2 linked regions of the Cricetulus griseus genome follow. The protein of the gene in region 2 purifies or fractionates together with the protein of the main gene of each other region. This does not show direct contact. Links are inferred from orthologs where the notes say so. Each region holds a gene or a part of one and is shown on either strand. Other genes may lie near its edges.

What was found. Proteins that work in one complex are often made in the same cells at the same time.
Region 1: the proteins of Arrdc3 (region 2) and Adrb2 purify together in Homo sapiens (affinity purification with western blotting; 6 studies listed by BioGRID and IntAct, with this or other methods). This does not show direct contact. The link is inferred for Cricetulus griseus from reciprocal best matches to the Homo sapiens genes ARRDC3 and ADRB2.

Annotation. Positions count from the first base shown.
Region 1 is NC_048595.1:176,928,300-176,931,779, reverse strand, and holds Adrb2 (beta-2 adrenergic receptor), read right to left. Parts: upstream 2,301-3,480; coding exon 1,044-2,300; downstream 1-1,043. UniProt on the Homo sapiens protein: Beta-adrenergic receptors mediate the catecholamine-induced activation of adenylate cyclase through the action of G proteins. The beta-2-adrenergic receptor binds epinephrine with an approximately 30-fold greater affinity than it does norepinephrine.
Region 2 is NC_048595.1:301,361,005-301,365,235, forward strand, and holds part of Arrdc3 (arrestin domain-containing protein 3), read left to right. Parts: intron 1-533; coding exon 534-636; intron 637-971; coding exon 972-1,228; intron 1,229-1,482; coding exon 1,483-1,645; intron 1,646-1,878; coding exon of another isoform or gene 1,879-1,916; coding exon 1,917-2,071; intron 2,072-3,819; coding exon 3,820-3,876; 3' UTR 3,877-4,231. UniProt on the Homo sapiens protein: Adapter protein that plays a role in regulating cell-surface expression of adrenergic receptors and probably also other G protein-coupled receptors.

The sequences.
Region 1 (3,480 bases), about 120 Mb from region 2:
CCTGAATACACCAAGCCCTGCTGCAGTACAAAGGGCACTACTGTAAAAGATGCCAGTGATATAAATCCACACAGTTTTTAAACAAGGGCTGGAAGGTAGGTAGCAGGAGCATGTGGGACAGAACGTATGCCCAGAACACACACTCTCTCCTCTCTCTCTCTCTCTCTCTCTCTCTCTCTCTCTCTCTCTCTCTCTCTCTCTGAGTCAGGGTTTCCGAGGTGACAGCACAGAATAGCAACTGTAGGACACACTGGGTTATGCTGAGAGCAGGCAGAACTGATTTGGGGCACAAGTAAAATTAGGAAAGACACAGGTTTGCATTTGGAAATCCAAAGGCACATGGGAGGGCTAGGCAATCAATGCATACCATTCTGGTACCCTTCCACATCAAGACACACAGCAGTTATGACACATAGTTACCTGTGGTTTCCAGTGGGAAAGACAAGGACACTCCAGAGTCAAGAGGTTTTGGAGAAACAGGTGCAATGAAATCATGGTCAAACAATTTATTTACTGTAAACTTTAGACTTTGCTCAGAAAAAAACAGCTGAAGCTGTCCCTCAGATCACTGCCTACAACACTCCATTTGAGCAAATAAGTGGAGCGGGGGAGAGTATATATTCACAGCAGAAAGGTCCAAGACACAGGATTGTCAAGTCCAAGGGTACAGGAAGGAAAACTTCCTTCTGATACAAATTACTAGCAGCAATAATAGTATACCCTAACACTTGACCAATGAGGTAGATGCATGGAAAAATCATCTAAACGTACAGACAGTCCTCTAGGACCAACACGCTTCAGACAGAAACTTTTAAGTTCCGTGCAAAGAGGAACTGAACTGCACAAGAAACAAATAAGCACTCAAATACAGCTTCTCCCCCTCTCTTGTTTTTGCAGCTTAAAAAAATAAAATAAAAAAGGGCAGAAGGATGTTCCCCTTCTGCAAATCTCTATACAATTTTATTCTAAAGTTATTACACTCAAGTTAAATAGTCTGGTTAGTGTCCTGTCAGGGAGGGGTCTTAAAAAGCAGAAAGCCTGCATTACAGTGGTGAGTCATTTGTACTACAGTTCCTCCCTTGGGAATCAAGGCTAAGGCTAGACACAGTACCTTGACAGTTCGCAAAGCTTTCCGTGCCTGGGGTGTCCTCACACAGCAGTTCACTTTCTTTTTCCTGCCCCAACTGACATTCACTTGCCTCCCCCATGTAGTCTGTTTTGCCATTACTGTTGGTGGAGTAGCCATTCCCATAGGCTTTCGCAGAAGACCTGCGGAGGCATAAAAGCTCCTGGAAGGCAATCCTGAAGTCTGGACTCCGACAGTAGATCAGGGGATTGAAAGCAGAATTGACATAGCCCAACCAGTTAAGGAGGATGTAAACTTCCTTAGGGATGAGGTTTTCCTGGATGACATGCACGATGTTGACAATGAAGAAGGGCAGCCAGCAGAGGGTGAATGTGCCCATGATGATGCCTAAAGTCTTGAGGGCTTTGTGCTCCTTCAAGCAGAACTTGGAGGACCTTCGGAGTCCGTGCCCACTCCGCCCATCCTGCTCCACCTGGCTGAGGTTTTGGGAATGGAATCTTCCCTCAGATTTGTCTATCTTCTGGAGTTGCCTTTTGGCCACCTGGAAGACCCTGGAATAGACAAAGACCATGACCACTAGAGGCACGTAGAAAGACACAATGGAGGAAGCAATGGCATAGGCCTGGTTCGTGAAGAAGTCACAGCAAGTCTCCTTGAGATAGCAGGTGATGGCTTTCTTGTGGGTGGCACGGTACCAGTGCATCTGGATGGGCAAGAAGGAGGTAAGGCCGGATACAATCCACACCATTAGGATGACCATTCGGGCCTTATTCTTGGTCAGCAGGCTCTGGTACTTGAATGGCGATGTGATAGCAATGTAGCGATCCACTGCTATCACACACAGGGTCTCAATGCTGGCTGTGACGCATAACACATCAATGGAAGTCCAGAACTCACACCAGAAGTTGCCAAAATTCCACATTTTCATAAGGATGTGACTGGCCCCAAACGGCACCACCGCTAGGCCCATGACTAGATCAGCACACGCCAAGGAGGTTATGAAGTAGTTGGTGACGGTCTGTAGTCTCTCGAACTTGGCAATGGCTGTGATGACCAGCACGTTGCCAAACACGATGGCCAGGACGATAACCGACATGAGGATGGCCATGCCTACCACCCACGCTTCGTCCCGTTCCTGAGTGATGTCGTGGTCCGGCGTATGGCTTCCGTTGGGTGTCAGCAAGAAGTCACTGTCGTTCCCGGGTGGCCCCATCGCTGGCAGACTAGCAGGTGAGTGCACTGGCTTTGGGCGCCCTGGCGCTCTCAGCGGGTGCACCTCCGACGGGGCACAGCCTGCCGGGGACGGACTCCTGGAAGCTTCATTCAGCGGCTGTAGGTGGCTGTGCTGGGGGCGCGTTCTGCACACTCAGCTCGTGGGGTGCTCTGGGTTCGCGGTGCCTGCTAGCTGCAGCCTGAACGCTGGAGAAGCAGTCTCGCAATGCTCCCTGCCCGTTATGTGCACCGGACTTTAGGGGAATTGCTTGGTGACGTGCAACAACTTTGGGCCAATGGTACGGTCGCATGCCCGGAGGGGCGAGGCACCAAGGGCCAACCCTCCCTGCCTAGCCCGCCTCCTCCTGGGGTTGGTCCGGGCGGGGCCCCAGTGCTCCCCGGAGGCCAAGCCACCACTCCCTCCCAGCTACCCTAGTGGGGCCTCAGAGACAGAAATCTGGAGCTGCTGTACGATCCACCAACCAAGCGCAGTCTGGAAGTTCTTCTACCTGTCCGTGCAGGTCACCTCTGCGGGCTGAGGTCTCTGGATGCAGGTGGCACACAGCGCATTTTCCTTTAGGAACAGAGAAGAGAGACTGAACAAGCACACTCGGACACGCATACACAGGCACAAACGCACTCGGCCGACGTGGACATGCTCAGACTTATGCCGCACCACAGCCACAGACACCGAGACACACCCGCGCCCACTCACGCTGGAGACGACAGCTGTCTCCTGGTCCAATGCAGAAAGGTGGCTAAAAACAAACACAGGAATACCTAGAAACATGCAGAAAGAAATGTACACAAGAGCTCATGTGGAGATGTGGTGTGCGGACCATTCAGACACCCATGTCCACATCCAGGTAGCATCCTCCTGAAGCACTTATAAATGACACCCTCTTTTCCCATTCCCAGACTCTCAGTATATTCCCTTACAGTTATTTGGCAAGAGCACAGGAGGTGACTTCAATAGCTACAGTTTCTCTGCACACTTTTTGAAAAATATGTTTTGGCATCCTCCCCCCTTGAGACCTTGCAGGCATCGAGGCAGTAATTTACCCTTTGTCTTTCATTAGGAGTTCAAGTATTTACACATTTAGGGGAGAGTTAGGTGGTTTTATTTTATTTTTAATTCTTGGGAGTGTGGCATCATTTTCTTGTTATATGAGGATGCATTG
Region 2 (4,231 bases):
ACAATCTAAACTTTGTACCACATTGCTTTATACTAGTTAGAGCTAGGTGTCACATGATGGGGATTCATCATTGTCATGGGGAAAAAATTAATTTCTTTTTAATTGCATTTTATTATACTAATTCAAATTTGGCTTCAAAAATGATTTGGTTTAAACAAATGATAACATCTTTAAATTGAATAAAAATGTGTTTTACATTTTATCAAACAACCTTTTTTTTTCTTTTTTCAAAATAAGATGTTGCCATTTTGAATTACAACCAAGTTTAAGACAATTTATGTGGAATTTGGAAAGGGTTTTTTTTTTAAATTAGTTTTCATTATTGTACACAATGGACTAAAAGTCTGCTTTGGAATAGGGTGTTAGGCCTTTAACCTATTTTATTGAATAGAAGTTTATATAAAGACAGAAGTTTGATATTTTTAAAAACTATCTGTTACAGGAACAAAATTGATTCTCTTAGTTACTTTTATAACAAACAATTCTGGCATTTTTATTAGTTCATACATTGATGTTTTTTCTCTTTCTTACAGTCACCCCAAGCAGGCACAAAAGACAAGACACTCTGTTGCTGGTTCTGCGCCTCAGGCCCAATATCCTTAAGTGCCAAAATCGAGAGGAAGGGCTACACCCCAGGTATGGATGCGGTTGGTGCCTACAAAAAGCAGTTTTCTTTATTAAGCATCTTGTATAAACTTGGCATTGTTACCGAATATAAACCCTCAGCATTCCTTACTTCGTAAAGCTGTGTAGGTTGTACAGATGGATCCCTTTTCTTTTCACAAATTATAGTCTCCTTTTTTGTGTAGTCAGGGTGAGTGAGCAGGTCATCTTTATAACAGTGAGTTATCCTTGCTCACTTCCAGGATAGCTTTTCCTCCATGGAGTTAGTTGAGCTTCAGAAGTCTACACCAGATACCAGTGTGTGCCTTTTTGTTTTCTAATAGTGAGTAACTGTTTTCCCTCTACAGGTGAATCAATACAGATATTTGCTGAGATTGAGAACTGCTCTTCCCGAATGGTAGTGCCAAAGGCAGCCATTTACCAAACACAGGCCTTCTATGCCAAAGGGAAAATGAAGGAAGTAAAACAGCTTGTGGCAAACTTACGTGGGGAGTCACTATCATCTGGGAAGACAGAGACATGGAATGGCAAGCTACTAAAAATTCCACCAGTTTCCCCCTCCATCCTTGACTGTAGTATAATCCGTGTGGAGTATTCACTAATGGTAGGTGTTCCTGTAAGAAGTTCTTATCACTTTTTCTTGAATCTGTGGGGTCCTTATTTTGACTTATTGATGCTTGGTAGACTGTAGATGTGTGTACAAAACATTGCATTATTACCTCACATAAACTAGGGCATTGCATATAAAAGAGAAGTTCTCTAGAAACTAAACGGGATCCCAGCTAATATCAAAATTAGGTTGTGTTTTTAAAAAAAATTCTGCTTAAATGCTGACTTCAACATCTGCTTACTGTTTAGGTATATGTGGATATTCCTGGAGCTATGGATTTGTTTCTTAATTTGCCACTTGTCATCGGTACCATTCCTCTTCATCCATTCGGTAGCAGAACCTCAAGTGTGAGCAGTCAGTGTAGCATGAACATGAACTGGCTCGGCCTATCCCTTCCTGAAAGACCTGAAGGTAATTTGATAATACATGTCTAAACTTACTCTATTATTAGTAGTAAGACTTTTTTCTTTTGTTTTTAATATTTTACAACCCTAGTTAAATTTTTATCTTTCTTCAGTTAGCATATGTAACCTTAATATTGTTTTGTTGTTTGTCCTGCTTGTTTTAATCACCAAACAAATAATTATTCTTTTACATGACATTTTTTTAATATCTACTATTCTGTGTATTTTGACATGCATAAGAACATGTTGTTCGAATTGCGTGTATCTTTTTCCTTCAGCACCACCCAGCTATGCAGAAGTAGTAACTGAGGAACAAAGACGAAATAATCTCGCCCCAGGGAATGCTTGCGATGGTTTTGAAAGAGCTCTTCAGGGACCACTGTTTGCATATATCCAGGAGTTTCGGTTCTTGCCTCCACCTCTTTATTCAGAGGTAAGTACCAAGTCAAGGATGAAATGTGCTGGGTCTCCTAGGAAACAGCAGTGCAAGCTTTTAAAAAAGATACAGGCTTTTAAAAGGTAGTCGTTTCTTAGTTAAGCTGATGATAAACATTTAGAACACCAGTTTAAAAGTTAGAATTGTCAGATCTTCTGACTTCATTCAGGAAATAAGGTGATGGCCAAACTTCGGTTGAATCATTAGCATTTTTTAATAAATGAGTTTATTTTAAAGTATCAGTAGAAAACTGGTATTTTGTAAGCATAATTAAATAGCTAGAATTTATATTGATCATAATCCTTTTCCAATCTAATTCTTTCATTTTTAACATTCTTAGTTATAGGAGAAAATAGCATATTTCCAAATAGCTTTTTAAGCCGGCGGTGGTGCACGCCTTTAATCTCAGCACTTGGGAGGCAGAGGCAGCAGGAGTATCTCTTGTTAGTTCGAAGCCAGCCTGGTTTACAGAGCAAGTTCCAGGACAGACAGGGCTACACAGAGAAACCCTGTCTCAAAAAAACCCAACAACAACAAAAAGAAAAAACAGACAGACCAAATAACTTCTTAAACAGCATTGTACACTCCTAGATTATTCTGCACTTTATATTAATGACACCAACACACATGTGAATAAGATGAGTACTTGCATTGGAAAAACTCACAGACTAGTGAGAAAAATTAACTTAGAAGGGAAAACCAGCCAGCGTCAACCTTGTTAGGAAACACCACTCATCTGATGAATCAATTATTGGGTCTTAGAAATCAGAAGGGCTTCTCTGAGAAGCTGAATTTTCAACAATAAGTAGCCCCTATACCTACAGTATAGGTTGGAAGAGCAGCCCAGCTGAAAGACAAGAAGGGGCTGTTTCTCTGTTGTACCTACACAGAGAAACCCGCCCTAGATGTAATTATGTAGAATCATCTTCATTAATTGTAGAGTACTCAGAATCTTTTCTTGCAAATTTTTGATTAGACATTTTTCCTGTCTTAGGATGGTTCATAAAAACACATGACTGAAAACCATTTTCCACAAATTTTATTACTTTTTTTTTTATTCTGACATTTCTTACTGTGTTCTGGCTTAATTTGAATGTTCATAGCTTTCAAGGGGGCATTTGAAAAGAATGATAATTAGAATTCACTTTAATTTGTCCTAAATTCTACACATTTCAAGATGAATATAATATAATTTCAACATTGTACAACCCTAAACTCTGGAATATGATTTAAATAAAAGGTAATTGGCTTTTTTCTTCAAAATGCATTTGGCATAAAAACTTCTGAGGTGATGTGGGTTATCTCATACTTAAAGTGAGCAGGACTTGTCCAGACAGATCTTTGAGTTAACCTTCACAGGACCCTTAGAAATGTTGTTCACAGAACCTAGGGAAGTGATGCAGTGACATTTTAGGACAAGAACAAAAGATACTTTACAAAGGAGTTGAGTGGTTTGATGGTGTACCCTAGTATATAACTGATTTTTAAGAACCCCAATGTTGAGTGAAAATACCCTTCCTAGTAACTTTGGTGAAATTGAACTATTCATGCATAACTATAAATCATATTGGTAACCTAACACCCTTTCATTCAAACATAACATGATCTTCAGATAGAGAGCATTATATTAGGGTGTAATCTGCTAAGCAGTCTTATGTATGCTCTGATAATATTGGTTACCTTTGCAGACTCAAAAGCAGTCATATACCAAATTAACTTTGTACATTTCATCTTGTTTCTACTAGATTGATCCAAACCCTGATCAGTCATCCGAGGACAGACCATCTTGCCCCTCTCGTTGAAGGAACACTTGATTGACTCGAGTTGATATGGGTTTCGAACTGTATCTCTTCCGGCTGAGGACAGAGAAGTATCTTGGAGACACGTTTTTCAGAGGAAGTGGAATTGCTTTTGCCCAGAAAATGGCAAATACATGAAACAACCAGTGATCATGCTTTAGAATCCTACAGCAGCATTCTGGGGCTGCTCCAACATGCTTGAAGATCTAAGCTTTCTCCTTTAACACTGCACATGCTGAGAGCAGTCATCTTAGCCTGTGTCATACGTGTCAAGACACCATTGCAGAGGAGGACATGGTCCTTCTGATTTGAAAATTTGCACATGCTCAATGCTTACATTGTGCAGCTCAGTGTCACT